Danio rerio: one gene and its partners. The protein of the gene in region 2 interacts with the protein of the main gene of each other region in a pairwise test. Links are inferred from orthologs where the notes say so. Each region holds a gene or a part of one and is shown on either strand. Other genes may lie near its edges. The genes, in order: alkbh4, dtx2, sec22a, eif4enif1 and rfx6.

What was found.
Region 1: the proteins of dtx2 (region 2) and alkbh4 interact in binary tests that used the Homo sapiens proteins (3 or more experiments, as listed by UniProt). The two-hybrid records come from large-scale screens. The link is inferred for Danio rerio from reciprocal best matches to the Homo sapiens genes DTX2 and ALKBH4.
Region 3: the proteins of dtx2 (region 2) and sec22a interact in binary tests that used the Homo sapiens proteins (3 or more experiments, as listed by UniProt). The two-hybrid records come from large-scale screens. The link is inferred for Danio rerio from reciprocal best matches to the Homo sapiens genes DTX2 and SEC22A.
Region 4: the proteins of dtx2 (region 2) and eif4enif1 interact in binary tests that used the Homo sapiens proteins (3 or more experiments, as listed by UniProt). The two-hybrid records come from large-scale screens. The link is inferred for Danio rerio from reciprocal best matches to the Homo sapiens genes DTX2 and EIF4ENIF1.
Region 5: the proteins of dtx2 (region 2) and rfx6 interact in binary tests that used the Homo sapiens proteins (3 or more experiments, as listed by UniProt). The two-hybrid records come from large-scale screens. The link is inferred for Danio rerio from reciprocal best matches to the Homo sapiens genes DTX2 and RFX6.

What each region holds. Positions count from the first base shown.
Region 1 is NC_133180.1:67,366,396-67,369,059, forward strand, and holds the end of alkbh4 (alpha-ketoglutarate-dependent dioxygenase alkB homolog 4), read left to right. Parts: intron 1-1,525; coding exon 1,526-2,044; 3' UTR 2,045-2,147; downstream 2,148-2,664. UniProt on the Homo sapiens protein: Dioxygenase that mediates demethylation of actin monomethylated at 'Lys-84' (K84me1), thereby acting as a regulator of actomyosin-processes.
Region 2 is NC_133180.1:65,408,678-65,412,729, forward strand, and holds the start of dtx2 (probable E3 ubiquitin-protein ligase DTX2), read left to right. Parts: upstream 1-1,245; 5' UTR 1,246-1,758; coding exon 1,759-2,080; intron 2,081-4,052. UniProt on the Homo sapiens protein: Regulator of Notch signaling, a signaling pathway involved in cell-cell communications that regulates a broad spectrum of cell-fate determinations.
Region 3 is NC_133184.1:39,565,222-39,568,743, forward strand, and holds part of sec22a (vesicle-trafficking protein SEC22a), read left to right. Parts: intron 1-560; coding exon 561-724; intron 725-3,346; coding exon 3,347-3,522. UniProt on the Homo sapiens protein: May be involved in vesicle transport between the ER and the Golgi complex.
Region 4 is NC_133181.1:43,478,330-43,482,389, reverse strand, and holds the start of eif4enif1 (eukaryotic translation initiation factor 4E transporter), read right to left. Parts: upstream 2,815-4,060; 5' UTR 2,524-2,814; intron 1-2,523. UniProt on the Homo sapiens protein: EIF4E-binding protein that regulates translation and stability of mRNAs in processing bodies (P-bodies). Plays a key role in P-bodies to coordinate the storage of translationally inactive mRNAs in the cytoplasm and prevent their degradation.
Region 5 is NC_133195.1:45,805,838-45,808,697, reverse strand, and holds part of rfx6 (DNA-binding protein RFX6), read left to right. Parts: intron 1-1,627; coding exon 1,628-1,987; intron 1,988-2,440; coding exon 2,441-2,446; intron 2,447-2,860. UniProt on the Homo sapiens protein: Transcription factor required to direct islet cell differentiation during endocrine pancreas development. Specifically required for the differentiation of 4 of the 5 islet cell types and for the production of insulin.

The DNA of each region.
Region 1 (2,664 bases), about 2.0 Mb from region 2:
TTTATTAGCCCCCCTAAATTATTAGCTCCCTGTTTAATTTTTCCCCCAATTTATGTTTAACGGAGAGAAGATTTTTTTTCAACACATTTCTAAACATAATAGTTTTAATAACTCATTTCTAATAACTGATTTATTTTATCTTTGCTATGATGACAGTAAATTATATTTGACTAGATATTTTTCAAGACACTTCTATACAGCTTAAAGTGACATTAAAGGCTTAACTAGGTTAATATGGTGAACTAGGCAGGTTAGGGTAATTAGGCAAGTTATTGTATAATGATTGCAGGGGTGGACTGGCCATCTGGCAATTCTGGCAAATGCCAGAAGGGCCGGACCATTTTTTTAAATGTGGGCCGGTCAGCTATTTATTTTTTATATATATATTGTTTTTACTTGTAGCCCGTTTTTCGATGATGATAATAGTAATAATAATAATAAATGTTAAGCATTGGCCCAATCGACAATGACCGGCTGGTTTCGAGATGGGCCATCCTCATCAGAGGTTATGCGGAATGTAATCTGGCAAGAATGTCAAACAAACATTAGGTGCAACACAAGCTAATTGTTAGAGATGGACCATAAAAAAGGAAATGCAGTGCCGAAAAGCTCAGAGAAAGCAAAATAAAAAAGGCTCTAAAATCAGATGCTGCCAAATGCATAAAATGAACTGAACTATTCTCGAAAGGGGGCAGCGCAGTGGGTAGCACTGTCACCTCACCTCATAGGTTAATTGGGTTGGTTTAATTGTCAGTTGTGCATGTATGTAAATGTGTGTATAGGGGTTTTCCAGTGATGAGTTGAAGCTTGGAGGGCATCCGCTGCGTAAAACAAGTTACTAAATAAGTTAGCGGTTCATTCTGCTGTGGCAATCCCAGATTATTAAAGGGACAAAGCTGAAACGAAAATGAATGATTTCATATATAAATTTGTTTCAAATGGGTTGGGTCGCATACATAAAATGTTTAAATATCTAATACATATGGTACTGCTTATATTATTTTACTATCTGTACACCAATATATGTAGTAAATGTGCGTGTCCGTGGATGGGGCTGTGTCAGTGTAGTAATGTGGGCTGGTGTGGCTACAGTGCCAGGGCTGATTTAAAGTCCCAGTCCGCCCCTAAACGATGGTTTACTCTGCAGACGATCAGAAAAAAAAGCTTAAAGGGGCTAATAATTTTGTCCCTAAAATGGTATTTAAAAAGTTAAAAACTGCTTTTATTCTAGCCGAAAAAAAAACAAAACAAATAAGACTTTCTCCAGAAGAAAAAATATTTCTGAAGTATATAAGTCCTGAAGAAACTGAAGTATGGGGTGACGTGAACAAAATCATTGATCCATTTAGGTGGAAGTGACAAACTGCAGGCTTTGGATGCTTATATCAGTTTAATATCTTCTAAACCTGGGTTTTATCACGGTTTTGGAGCACACTAGCTTATAGATATTCTTAAAACTAACATACTGATACTAAAAACTAGAAAACCTTTATTTTAATTTCATGAGACATCTGTCTATCCAAAGGACTTTGGGCCAAAGGTGAACTTCAAGAAGCGCCGTGTCCATGTGGGAAGCTTCAGCGGCCTGCCTGCTATCAGTCGTCGGCTGCTGGTCCGGATGTCAGATTTACCCCAGTTATCTTCGTTCAAACCAGTGGAGCAGTGCAACCTGGACTATGATTCTCTCAGAGGCTCCGCCATCGACCCACACTTAGACGACAGCTGGCTGTGGGGAGAAAACCTGGTCACCGTTAACCTGCTCTCGGACACCGTTCTGACCTTGAGCTTGGATCAGGGCTGGGGAGACATGGAGCAGGGCGAGGTGAGGGTGGCTGTGCGTCTTCCCCGCAGGTCTCTGGTTGTGCTCTACGGAGATGCACGGCACCGGTGGAAACATGCCATCCACAGAAAAGACATTCACGGCCGCAGAGTGTGCAGCACCTTTCGGGAGCTCTCGGCTGAGTTTCTCCCCGGAGGACAGCAGGAGAAACTGGGCTCAGAGTTGTTGGATATAGCGCTGAGCTTCCAGGGTGCTCCTCTATAAGACAGCTCCACTTAGATGCATGTTTGTTTGTTTGTTCAATTGCACAAATGTAAAGTGATTGTTTTAATTGTTAATTTAAATAAATGCTTTTTATCAGTCTGTTCATCATGTTGTTTGTTTTCACCAGATGGCTTGTATAGCTCTATTTCAAAAGAAATAATCCATCTAGATTGATTGTCGTGGTTTTGTAAGGGTGTGAATCGTGCATAAAAATCATACACAAATTGCAAGCAAATTTACTTACAAATATACATATATATATAAAGCCATGAAATAGTATGAGGTGCCGTATAGGATTTAAATCAAACTTTGCTTATCAACACATACATAAAACACATGTATATACACCTATAAATTACTCGCATATACACCTATACTACTGGATGTTCAAAACAACATGGATGAAACTTGTGTATATACATATAAACTTGACGCATGAATACACCCACATACACACGCACATACATATAAACTCGATCCTCACATAAACACTCACATTAACACACGCACATACATATAAACTTGCTGCATGCAAACACACCTATACACACTTGCATATACATATAAACTCGATTCTCGCATAAATACCCACATTTACATGCACATACATATAAACTCGC
Region 2 (4,052 bases):
TATGAAAAAGGTACACCACAGTCATCTAAGAGCTATACTAAACTAAAAGTATATTTTTATTAAAGTGAGTGTGTGTGTGTGTGTGTGTGTGTGCGCTGGTTTTTGGTGGTTTATGAGGACAAAATTTTGTATGACCTAGGCATTACAATGTTGTGGTGGTTAATGAGGACATTACACGTGTCCTTGTAAATCAAAACGGTTAAAGTCATACTTAACAGGGTCTTTTGACATTACAAAGTTTGTCATGTTTCATTTGAAGTTGGGTTTAGGGGTAGGGTGTATAATAATCGTTTTTTTTACAGTATATAATACATTACGACCATGTAATGTCCTCATAAACGTGTGCGTGTGTGTGTAATTATGCACTGAAGCTTTACGCGTATACTGAGAATTATTTTAAAGTTATTTAGAAACAACTTCAGATTGAGTTTAGATGAATGGAGATTATTTTCCTGACACATCAGGATAGCATTAGCACCACCTACTGGATTGAAGACAGGATCACACATTTTCATCTTTACAGTTTTCATTTACAGTGGTAGGTTACAATTAACACGTTGTAAACCACAGGCTATTGTAATGAAAATTGTTATGGTTTCCAGTGTAATGCAAAAAAACGTATTACAATAAGATTTATTAGTTTTAACATACCACAAAAACAAAGCATACAGGCAACAAGAGACTCACAGGAAACATTTGCAGTTTCCATTACAACCAATACAATTACCATTGACACAATTACAAATTCTATTAAAGTTTCAGGATTCAGATCTTACATGACAAAAGTTTTATTACACATTAATTACATTTAATTACACATTAATTAATTCTGACTAATATTTTGGTACAATTGAGAACTCGTGTATTACAGATATTTAAGTGGGATTCTTGTGTTTAACCACAAATACCATATTTAAAATGTATTTATAGAAACATTATTTCTCTATTATAGATCAGTGGTTGTAACACAATAAATCACTTATGAACGTCATCTACAAAGAAAAACGCAGCGTGACTTTTATTTTGTTATTAGTCAGTGTATTACGCTTTTAAAATAAAAGCCATCTGCCGTTGACAACGTACGCAATATAAAGATAAGCATTCAAATTTTGAAGTTAACCATAGCAAAGCATAAACAAAGAATAGACAGTAGTCATTTAAAAAAATCGACATTGCTTTTATATTTGAACAATTTAAAATGTAAACATACCGACAACAAGACGGGTGCTGTTTGTGTCTGCCTTCACAGTGTGTATCTATGGGAATCCACCAGCAGCGACACAAACACACACCGCAGCAGAGGAAGTGTGTCACAAACCACTGCGTACTTTTAAAAACCATGCCGAGCGGCGAGTTTTAAATCACGACCATGCAGCATTAGCCGCCTGCCGACCTAACAGAAACTGTTATTTTACATGAATCCGATTAATGAGCCCGGTAGCCGAGCAGCATCGCACTGAATGGCGAAGAGAAGAGCGAGACGCGGCTAGTCTGAAGCTGCGACTCCAGCAGCCGAGCAAAGAAGATGCGACATCAGTGGGATTACCTTCAAATCTGCGGATAAATAAATGTTCACTCCTGAATTAAACACAGTTTTAACGACATCGAGCGATCTCTTATAGGATACTGCGGGTTAGCTGGGTGGAAAACGAGTGAAACTGAAAGGGTGGTGGTGTTGTTGTTAGCTGGGCCAGGCAGCCCCACTGCTTAACTCCGGCTTATTTTAGGATCGGTTGGGGTCATTTCTTAGCAGACACAATGGCAACAGGCTCCAGTTTCCCTTCCGGAGGGAGTGGAACTAGAAACGGACCGTCTTTCGCTTCGCCGTCGACTTCGTCTGTCACCTCGTCTGGGGTGCCCGGACAAGCTCAGCCGATGGCGGTGGTTTGGGAATGGCAGGATGATCTGGGCTTCTGGAGGCCCTACACCGGACAGGTGAGCAGCTACATCGAGCAGTGCCTCCAGCACCAGAGAGGGGCAGCGGTCGCCGGGAGCAGCATCTGTCTGGCTCAGGCAGACCCCAGCCTGTCCTCCTACATCATCGACATCCCCAACCTCAAACAGTTCAGACAGGACACTGGTGAGTCTGTACTCAACACATCAAACTGATGAATAACAGCAAAAAAGTACTATGAAACTTGTAGCTGTACATGGGCCTGTATAAGATTCGGATGGTATGAAAACCTTGCACACAAATATCGCCGTATTGTGATTAATGTTAATGCTATAAAACAGTTTTATTTTAAATGTCTAACAAACTATTCCCATCAAACAGAATATATTTTACTTTAAGAAACGTTTAAAATATCTTGGAACAGTAAATGTGAGGCTAAATGAATATAATAAATTCTTCAGTGTGTTAATATGGACACCAATAATGCTCTGATAAAGCATTGTCTACCATGTAAACAGAGATTTATGATTAATTTAATTTGATTAAGGTCTTAATCTTACTAAACAGAAATCAAATTAAGACATTTAGTCGCATTATTGAAATGTAGTACAGATATATAAACATGTAGGACTTTCAGTGAAATTTGCGACAGGATAGTCTATATGGCTGTACAAACACTATTCTTTGCATCTCTCGAGTCAATGAAGGACCACAGACACCTGCATCACAAAATGCGGAGGTTTATTTTCCCTCATCATATTACATTAAAACAACACTCTTCTAGCAGTTCATACTCGCATGCAATTTCTTATTTGTCATGGGGCGCATGCATGAAATGTTCCAGAATGAAAGTGAAAGTACCAAACTGCAGTAAAAGTCGACAACTTAAAAATGAAACACCTGAAATTACACGAAACCCAGCAGGAAATGTGGATAGCTAAAACAAGGCTAAATTTGGCCTGTCAGTGAAAATCTAATAGACATTTAAGAATCGGCCAACATTCGACTAGTCATCAAATAAACAGAAATGAATGACTAATGATCTGTTTAATCTGCATATTTGATGACTAATCGAATATATAGATTAATCAAATAGTGTTTTATAATTTTAGTTTTCATTTTTGGGTGAACGATCCCTTTAATCAACATATTTTATAATATTTTAGGCAAATGAAAGCATCACTTCAGGTGATGAATTACAAAACAATTGTGTGAAAGTGAATATCCATGTTTTACGTATGGCAAGCATTTTCTTTTTGTTTAAAATGAGATCTAATAGATGTCTAATAGACATCTAAGGCTAGATAAAACATTGCCAAACGTGGTTTGTCAGTGAAAATCTAATAGACCTCTAAGAATGGCCCTAAACTAGTTATCAAAACCACAGGAATGAATGACTGCACACGTGTGGAGTCTGTCTAATCGGTGTATTTGAGCACTAGTCTAGTTTTGGGCTGTTCTTAGACGTCTATTAGATGTTCACTGACAGCCTATTTAGCCAAGATGGATCTATTAGACATCTATTATGCATCTATTAAACAGAATTGCTTTGCAAGGTGTTGCATAAAAAAATGACTTTTTAATAATGTAAACAAAGAAAAATAATTTAAACTTTGCAGTAGAGAGAGACCTCTTTCATACACTGTAAAAAATGCCGGGTTCCACATAATTCAGTCATGTTGTTCCAACACAAATCGATTAATTAATTTAACACTTTTAACAAATTAATGTGGATCGAACATAAAAAAAATTAAGTTGTCCGAATGAACTCTCAAGAATTATGTTGTTTCAGCTCATTTTAAATAAGTAGTTAAACGAGCAAAACAAAATATTTTTTGAATGTAACATTAAATTATATTAATATATACATTTTTACTTGTCTTGGACTGTTATACTACGATATGTGAAGTTATTACTGTCTAGTACTGCCACAGCACTTTAAGAGAGTGTTAGGGAAATGTGCTTTTTGCTCATTTGGATTAAGTAAATGTGTTGTCAAGGAAGAGTCTGTAAAATCCACAGAGTGAAAGAAGCCCTGTGTGAATCTTGGCTGAAACTGATTAATTCACTTGCTCTAAATGTATGGTATTTATGCTTTATCCTTGATAACAGGTCATCAAAGCTGCTGGGAAAAGCAGTGTAGTGTGCTGCAGTATGA
Region 3 (3,522 bases), on a different chromosome or scaffold from region 2:
TAAAACATCCCAGCTAAAACAAATCACAGTGGGGTGCTGTGCACTGGTTGCCAACTGTTCTGATGCAAAATTAAAAGTTCCCCTTCAGCAAGGTCTAATTCAGATGCATTACACTGACGGACCCAGGGGTGACCATTTCATAGCCTGGCTGCTATTCATCAGTCCACACTTCACAAGCAGGCAGAAACAAGTCCGATCTCTCTCTGGACTGACTCAGTGGATCGTTTCATCTCTCAAATAGACGTTAACATGGAGAGACACACTGACAAAGTTTCTTCTTTCCTGAGGGCGAGTTACTAAACTGTTCAGATTCAAAGCAGGTGTAAAACAGAGGGTGATGGGGGATTTTTATACACAATGGTTATTTGAATGCGAAGGTCATTGGAATGGACTTTCTTGACCTTGCCCGTCCTGTCTGGGAATGACAGATGTCATGTTTTTACATGTTTTGCTTCCCAGAGCTGTCAGTGTGTCAACTTATTCATCTTCTATATTGAATACTAAATGAAAATTGACTGTAGAAGTATGATGTAAACTGTGACATGTCTTGTTTTCCACAGCTTCACAAGCTCTCTCGGAGTTGGGTACTTGATGGTTTGCACAGAGAACTATCCCAATGTCCTGGCCTTCAGCTTCTTAGATGAGCTTCAGAGAGAGTTCATAGTCACGTATGACACCAAGCGGATCAACAGTGCTTTGAGGCCTTTCTCTTTCATTGAGTTTGGTGAGTTTCTTAAGGGGGTCAGGACAGGTTTCTAACAAGGCATCTGTTTTTGCAAAGGGGGATCATATTTTTTTTGTTTATTTAGGACCTAAAACGTACTTACATGAGAAACATTCTGTGTTGTAAATGAAAAATTTAACTAATTGAATTGAATGATAACAACAAAGATTGGAAACCCAATATTGTCAGTACAGTTTTAAAACCACACAGCCTGTGTTGTGTATTTATATAAATATTCATGCTAATTGCTTTGCATGTTTCATTGTCACATTTTGATCTGAGTAGCTCATGATAACAGTGTTATCTGCAGTTTTCTACCAAGCTTTAATCTATCATTTACCAAAACAAAACTAAAAACTAATATTATTATTATTATTATTATGTAAATAAAAAATCTTTAAAAACAATTAGGTCATAAAACTATTGAACATTAATATTAGATATTAAGTTAACATTATTATTAGATCATATTTCATATTTAGATATTTATTTATTTGTATATTAGTAAAAAAAAGGCATCAGAACATTTAATGAATTATTTATTTTTTAAATATTAAATTTTGTAGCTGATTAAAGTGTTAAAGGGCACCTATGATGAAAATGTGTGTGTGTACCTCACTGTGTGTAGGTATAGTGTGTCCACAGTCATACTGGAGTGATAGAAACTCAACATATCTCTTTTTAAAAAATTGCCTGATGTTAAAATAAGATCCAAATTCCTCCTGTTTTGAGGCCCACCGCAACGTGACAAAGGAGTGCAGTTTTCCTACCCACTAATTTGGTTGACGGCCGTGTATTAACATGTCTTCGTAGTAACGTGTATAATCATATCAACAAGACAGGATGTGCACAAAGCAACTGGGATTAAATTATCTGTTCAGCTCACTGTGATCATCTATCATCATAAAATGTGATCAAGAATGAGTTTTTACAGGTTTAAAAAATTTTTAAAGCAGTGCATGTTTATAATGAATTACAGCGACATTATCCTCACAGCCGCGTGTCAAAACAGTTATAAATCCCGGTTTGTGGACGTTAAATTAGGTTTATTTTGTACATTAACATAACAGACATAACAGGCACGTGGGAACAGTGGGTGGGGAGAACTAGCATTAAAGGGTCAGGCCACAAATACAGCTACATTGTGTTGAAAGCAGAAAATTCTAATATTCTAAAAGGTATAATAAATAATTTGATGGGTGTTTTGAGCTGAAACTTTACAGACACTTTCTGGAGACACAAAAGACTTATCTAAATCTTGAAAAAGGGGTAAAATAGGGGCCCTTTAATGTCTTCAAAACAAAACTTGTTCACTCCAAACTTTTGATTGACAATGTAAGCAGTATATATCAGTTGTGTGATGTATAGACAGTATATTATATAGTGTATAACTTTTTATTGTTATCATCATTTCTGAAACCGCTGAGTCTGAGCAGTTTAACCTGAAAAAAAAGAAACTTGCACTAAATGAAGTGTATTTATAAACTAATTTTGAGAGGATCACGTGCTTATAATGCGGCCCTGCATTATTCAATTCATGATTCACCAATCAGACGATTCCTAAACCACTATAAATACCATAAGTTCTATATGACAGACATCTTCGTTTTGAAGTAGTTATCTCTTAAGAGCAATCACTATCTGGTCATTAGTTACTACATCAGGGGAGTTCTACCTGAGCTCAAATTCCCCTCTCGCCTTGCAAATGGGAGGGGGCCCAGGGCTCGAGGATCTTATGAGCTTAGGGCTCTCTCCTGGGACAGCATGCCAAACAAGCTTTATAATCAATCATCAGCTAAGTGTGAACTCTTGAACTGATCTTAAAATATCAGCGTGTTTGTCGTCTCAATTTTGGACACCTGTAATTCTTTTATGGCAAAAAAATGTCCTAAGTGAAATATGGCCTAATCCTAGCTTAGTCTAAGCTCTGTGAAACTAGGCCACCTTGTCTTCATTTCTGTCAGGAGGTGTACAAAATCAAAAAGCATACATAATTGGTTATTTTAAACAATTGACTTAAGTTATGTGGTTTAATTTACTTAAATAAAAAGTATCTAAAATAACTAGCCCTTCGGCATCATCTGCCTGAATGTATTTGTTTGATATGATAAATGTGTGCATGTCTAATGCAAAACAGCCTTGATGGTTATTCGTTAATCTGATTGAAACCATTACCTCCTGAGTTTGGCAGAATGAAATGTTTCTCGCTGTAAGATTCAGGAAAGCTCAACACACTTTCTTGCCATTAGTCTGGTGTTAATTATTTGATCACATCCAATACAGACCCTTTCACTTGGCACTGAAAAGTATTTGCTCTAATTAGTTCCACTTATATTAGTTCCACACGAACAGTTTCACCAACCTTGAGCATTAGTCGATCTCTAAAAAGCATGATGAGTTTGAGTAAACATTAATAGATTTGCATCTTTTGTGGAACATTTAAATGTAGTCATTTACGAGCCTTATTTGGCTAGGGATCATTGGATTTATCTAAAGAACTACTTCGAATGCAGAACCTCCATTTAACTTGGTATGAAATGCATTGAAGCAATTTGTAACATACAGACCCACGTTGTGATGCCCAGCTTTGATTTAGTGTGCCGTTTCTATGGTTTTTGACAGATAACTTCATTCGGAAAACCAAGCTGCGTTACAACAGCCCACGTTCGCTCTCTACCAAGATTAATCTGGCCGACATGCAGACCGAGATCAAGCTCCGGCCTCCTTATCAGCTCTCGGCGGAGGACATTGGATCAATCAACGGCTTCTCACAACACAAGGAGTCTAAATATAAAGGC
Region 4 (4,060 bases), on a different chromosome or scaffold from region 2:
ATTTGTGACTATTTTCAATTTCATGAGGTTCTTTTTACAGCAGCGATGTTGTAATGCTTTAATCTATTTACCTGATTATATTTGAAATGCATCCATTTGGTTATAAAACCATAAAAAGAGAGGCTGACATAAATGTAAAGTCTATGTGCATATACCCCATTCACTCCAAAAAAACAATATACGGTTTATTTATTCATCCTTAGGCCATTCAATATGAAGGGGACTTTTTCACCAGTAGAACATTAAAATATATTTTTAGTATTTAGTGATATTTCTATTAGGGATGCTCCAATCAATTGGTTGGAGATCCGAATCGGCCGATAATTACAATTCAAGACTTGTTTTTTTTTTTCTTTGTAAAGTTGCTTCTGAACGCTGCATGTATGCAAAATCCTTAATTTATTATCTTAGGTAAGGAGTTATACTCATACTTGAAGGGTAATTGTGCTTATGCAATGGTTAAGTTATATAAAGCTTAAAGAATTTGTATTTGTAATCTATACAAGTTGATCATTATTCTGGTTCTGATATCATGTTTTTTTTTTTTTACCTCTCAAATTATCATAAGCTGCTAACATGCATTTTATTTATCACCAGGGACAACAGTTCCAGGTAGGCCTGTGCAATTAATCAAAATTGAATCGCAATTTGAAAAGTTACAATTAGCTAAATCGCAAGAGGCAGTGATAGGGAATATATGCATTCATTTAATTTCCCCCACCCAGAGAAAATGTGTGACTGCCATCTGTGTATGAAAGTCTTACTAGCCAATCGAGAGAGCATGCTTTCATTCTGCCCAATCAGAACCTTTCAATCCGTCTTATATCTGTCGTGTTAGTATGCTGAGTGTTCTGTATTTTTAGAATTATAAAATTTTATATTTTTTTAAACATTTGTTTAAGATACATTATTTCCCTAATCTGAGTTGAACTTGTTTACAAAAAGGTAAGGTAATTTTATTTGTGCTTACTGTTTGCTCTAGAGCAGAGTTGACCAAAGTTGGCCCCGCGGGCCAAAGTTGGCCCATTGTAACCTTTGATTTGGCCTATCATCCCATCTGAGAGGAGAGCAAGTATGTTGAAGAGGGTTGGTGTGAACGTCTTACGGTTTTAGAGAGCGTCATTTTTTATTTGATGTAACCTTTTTTTTGGTTTGTTATATTGCTGAGCAAAAAAAAAAGCAAACAGAAATGAAATGTTTCAATTAAATGCAAATTAATCAGAATGAAAAAAATAAATGTAAATACTGTCACTCAACGGATAAAGGACTATGTAGAAGACATAGGCAGGAAAATCTAGGCATAAACTAGTGTAAATTTGTTATACATTGTTTTGTTTTTACTGTAATAAATTTTTTTTTTTAAATGCTGTATTAGTTAATTGAAAGCAATGTTTTCTAGTCAGTTTTAAGCATTATTAAATGAAATAGAAAATTACCCGTGGTAAATAACCCTATGGGCAGCACAGTGGGTAGCACAATCGTCTACCCACACAGCAAGGTCACTGGTTTGAGCCCCGGCTGGGTCAGTTGGCATTTCTGTGTGGAGTTTGCATGTTCTCCCTGTGTTTGCATGGGTTTCATCTGGGTGCTCCGGTTTCCCCAACATGTCCAAAGACTTATGGTACAGGTGAATTGGGTAAACATACGCTGGATAAGTTGGCGGTTCATTACACTGTGGCGACTCCAAATTAATAAAGGGAATAAGTCAAAAAGAAAATTGATGAAATTACCCCACCTATATTTGCCTTCGACCCATTCGCCTCAATCAACTTTGATTTTTGGCCGTTCATAAGAATAATGTTTAGGCACCCCTACTCTAGAAAAAAATGAGTTTAATTACTGAATATTTAAAAACTAATTTGAATAAATGTTGGAGTAAGTTAATAACTATCGAGTTCTTTATCTAACACACTGCATTTTAGCAGTAAGGAGCTTTGATGCAGATTGAGCTTAAGCTTGACTACAAAATTAAAATCTCAAATTAAATCACAATATATCAAAACAATTGCAATTGGATATTTTCCTCAAAATCGCACAGCTCTAGATACAGGTACATTACAATTTAAAAAATAAAAAATAAAACTTACAATAAGAAAAAAACAGTTCAACAACAAATAAATCTCCTACATTTTAATGACATTAAAAGCAAATTAACATTTCTGACTGAACTATCCTCTTTATAACAACCAAGTTATCTAGATTAAAACCAGTGAGTAACTGAGCGTGATTATACAAACAAGCATCTTAGCAAGTATAAAAACTCCTCAGTCAGCGAAGACTTCAAATAAAATTGAACTTGAATCCATTAAGACGGATATAAGGTGTAGCGATTTAATATGATGTAAATGTCTGGCTCGTGTGTAATATGAGAAGCTGCTGTATTAGCAAATGACGAGGCAGACTGCAAACAAACTGCAAAAAGCCTAACCAGCCAGATGCTAAAGCACGAATCTAAACTTTCAATCTATGAATAACTAAAATATTCTAAAAAATAAGTGTTGGTCAGCACATTTATCAACTCACCTGATATTTGAAACGGTGTCACAGCACCTTCTCTGTCCCCGCCGGGTTACCTCAGTTAGCTAGCTTCTGGCTACCTGTCTTATACCAAACTACAAGAAATGCCGGAGTCAGTCCAGAATTCAGAAAGGACGCGGATGAAGTTTCCTGCATAAAAATAAAGTTTCTCTATCGACGGTGTTGAAGGGGGTTCAGATATCGCTTGTCACTCCAGGTGGAATCGTTAATTGACAGAGAGGAGCATCTCATTAGCAAACTGGCTACACTTATCAAGCCGACGCCGAGGATTTATTTAGGTTCTTACAGACGAACGACTATTTGTCCAGACTTTAATTGTACCTTTGGTTTATTTCTCCTTTGGGTTTTTTCGTGGGAGCGATAAACATGGAAAAACGCCGTGTTTGTTTGTTTATTTATAGGCTAGTGAGCCAGGTTAGCGGGCTAGGAAACTTATCCACACTCATAAATCTGAACAGCGCAGGTCTAAAGCGCGCTAGTAAATTAAAGCTCACGTATATTAGGAATAAATCGGGCGGAAATTTTGGTTCGACGACTTAATTAAAGCTTGTATTCCGGCTTCTACCATCAATGTACCTCGGGGTACTTTCTCAGAGCTCTCTCTTTCGTCTCTGTTCAGTCGCAGAGCGGCGAATTTCTTCAGATCTCTGACTGGTTCTGAGAAAGGCCCCAATCAAGGATTATATAGCTTCTAATCACGCCTTCTCTAAAGTTTTACGAAACTAGGTCTTATTTTTGATGAAGATTTCAAATGTTACAATACAGAATGTGAAATTATGAGGTTAGAAGTGTGTATTTTATACAACGCTGTTTACAAGAGGCGTTAAAGAATTTTGAACACGAATATGTTTCAGGCATTCAACGCGGCCACCCTTTATAAATTGTAGTCACGTGACAGGATCTAACACGCTCAGTTAAGTTTTTTTTATTCAGGTTGAGTTTGTTTTTGTTGGTTGGTTTACAGGATTTTGAGCAAAACTAAGAGCTTTTTATGAAGAGATTATATTTAGTTAAAAGCGTTTTATACATGTTCAAAGGCATGACGTTTTATACATGTTCAAAGGCATAAGTAAAATATCAATTGCTCTTTATAAAGTCTGCATCGATAATAGGAATAATAGTAATGCTATTAATATTAATAACACATTATTTTGAAATAAAATTATTACATTTTAAAAAGTAAAATTGTATTTTTACATCATACAACAGAATTTTTAAACATACGTTTAATAATTTAACCTACATTTTTAAACTGTTATTTTTAATGAGGCCTTTGAAAAAACTTTTATTTTGACATTGTTTACCGGAAGAATGTTCTTTTAACTCAGAAGAGCGGCAGTTATGTTTTGTTGTTGATACTAGTTGTCAGAATGATGACACCTATTTACCGAGCTACAACATGTCTTAGCCGTTAAGTGAAAACTTAAATGACTTTATCTTTACTTTAATTATAGTTCAGGTTACGTTACCTGCAGGAAGATTGCGCGGCGATGGACTAAAGGTTATGTGTCTAAAGTAACGT
Region 5 (2,860 bases), on a different chromosome or scaffold from region 2:
GAAAAGTAATGATATTTGATTAAAGACTATGAGGGCAAAATTATTTTTACAGCGAAATGCTAATGGTCTAATCCGATTCAATGATCTATGGTAAGCTAAGTTAAAAGGGCTTAGCTTTTGACTGAAGATCATCTGAACTAATTAAAAAAAACCTCTACTTTTTAACCAGGGGGCAAAGCGAGCCTAATTTGTAAAAATAAATGAAGAGTGTTCCTTTAAACACACACACAAAAATGCTTACTGGCAAGTCATCTTTCCTGACAACTCAGTTTGAACTTAAGCAGATCATCTCTACAAGCATAAATACACCGCTGCTGTCCTGTGATTGGCTGATTATATATTTGCATTAAAGTTGGAAGTTAAGATTTTCCTCTACTGTGATGTACATCCGATTGAAACCGTCCTGAAAGGAGGTTGGTGCATAATTTTAGACGTTGCTAACAAAAAGAAAGATTAACAAATGGTCAAATTCAGAGCAGAACAAGACAACCACTGATATCCTCTCCAGAGTCCCGACAGCATAAATTGTGATTTAAAGTGAAGAAAAGTTGTTTCAAGGGAGAGAGAAAGTCATGATATTTGATTAAAGACTCTGACGGCAAAATTATTTTTACAGTAAAATGCTAATGGTCTAATCCGATTAAAAAATCTATGCTAAGCTAAGATCGGCTAAATGAATTCCAAAAAAATGATAAAACTCAACTTTTTACCCAGGGGACTTGCAAAATGAGCCTAATTTATTTAAAAAAATTTAGTGTTCCTTTAAACACACACAAAAATGCTTGCTGGCAAATTATCTTTCCGGACAACTCAGTTTGAACTTAAGCAGAATTTTCGCAAACACATTCAGACTTTAGCAAAACAGTTAGAATAGATGTACTGGTCTTTAATAATAATAATAATAATAATAAACTTTATTTGTGTAGCACTTTTCCAACATACATGCAACTCAAAGTGCCTCACAAACAACAACAAAAGCATTAAAATAGACCACAAAACCTATCACATATACTGAAATAAAAGCATTCATGTACACAAAATATAAGTATATATCCACATGATTACACACACAATAGTCCTTACATATGCAGGCACACACCATACATTACATACATAAACCTACAACAAAATAGATAAAATGCGTACACCTAACAAACTTGTTTAATCATACGCAATTTTAAAAAGATGTGTCTTAACACGCTTTTTAAAAACATGAATACTTGGGGATTCTTTCACTTCAAGGGGGAGACAGTTCCAAATTTTTGGAGCATAATGGCTAAAAGAAGTGCCGCCAGATCGCATCAGGTTTACAGGATAAAATTCTTAAAGTCCAGCACTAGAAGAGCGTAGCAAACGGTTTGGATTATATTTTGTTAAACAGTCGAAAATGTAGGAAGGTGTCATGTTGTGTAGTGCTTTATAAACTAATAAAAGAATCTTAAAATTTATCCTTTGGTGCACAGGCAACCAGTGTAATGCTGGTGTAATACAGTGTAATGTTTCTATGCAAAGAAAAAGTACCAAATTTATTATCTCTTTTAATTAAATCAATATGCTGCACAGAAGGTTCAAACTAGTTTGCAGATGCTCCTATTGAAACTTTAACATTCATCTTTCTTCTGTCCAGGATATTACGGCAGCAGCAGTGGTTATGTGGATGCTCCGAGGATGGGCACATTTATCGATCAGCATGTGTCGGTTATCAGCAGCGTGAGCAGCATTCGCTCAGTTTCGGCCTACGCTGAAGCACACGACCCTCTAAACATCCTGGACGACACCAGCAGGAAGACAAGACCTTACTACACCGAACTGTCCGCAATGGGCACACACACAGCAGGTCAGGGCAAAACAATCCTTCTAGGGGAGCCTGCAGGTAGTTACACAGTCAATTATGGGATAACGAGAATTGGTTCCAATTTAAACTTTTTTCTGAATTTGTTTATCTGTTTCTATAATTTCCCTGACATTAATGTTGTTTTTAATATTTGTTTATGCTTGTGAAGCACGCTGAGTTGCATGTGATGTAGGAAAGGGGGTAATACAAATAAAAACGTATTATTATTTTTATTATTATTATTATAAGGTAGGGGGCACGGTAGCTCAGTGGTTAGCACTGTCGCCTCACAGCAAGAAGGTCACTGGTTCAAGTCCTGGCTGGGTCAGTTGGCATTTCTGTGTGGAGTTTGCATGTTCTCCCCATGTTGGTGTGGGTGTCCTCCGGGTGCTCCGGCTTCCCCCACAGTCCAGAGACGCGATATGGGTGAATTGCGTAAACAAAATTGGCCATAGTGTATGTGTGTGTGTGTGAATATGAGAGTGTATGGGTGTTAAAACAAATGCTGAAATAGTTGGCGGTTCATTGCACTGTGGCGACCCCTGATAAATATTCATAAATATTCAGTTAATGAAACAATCATTATAAGGTGTTTATTGTAATCAGGTCAAGGCATGTTGACGCATTTTGTTGAAACAAAATACTGCTTTTCTTGAAGTTTTTGTCTTGTTTCTTGTCCAAATATTTAAAAAATATTCAATCAAAAGCATTTACTAGACAAATAAAAATATTGTTTTGTTTTCAGAAATAATAAGTCAAAATTAAGTGAGCTTTTTCTTAAAACAAGATACATTTTCTGCCTTTGGTGTAAGTAAAATAATCTTTAAACTGACAACAAGTTTATTTACCCTCCAGGTATATATTCCTAAAACAACATTTATTTTACTTGTCTAGAAAATGCTTCTTGATTTAAGAGTTTTTAGATATTTGGACTAGAAACAAGACAATAACTGGAAGAAAAACTATTTTTTTGCAACAACACTAACAACTCATATTTACCATGATTTATAAAAGGCACACCATAAA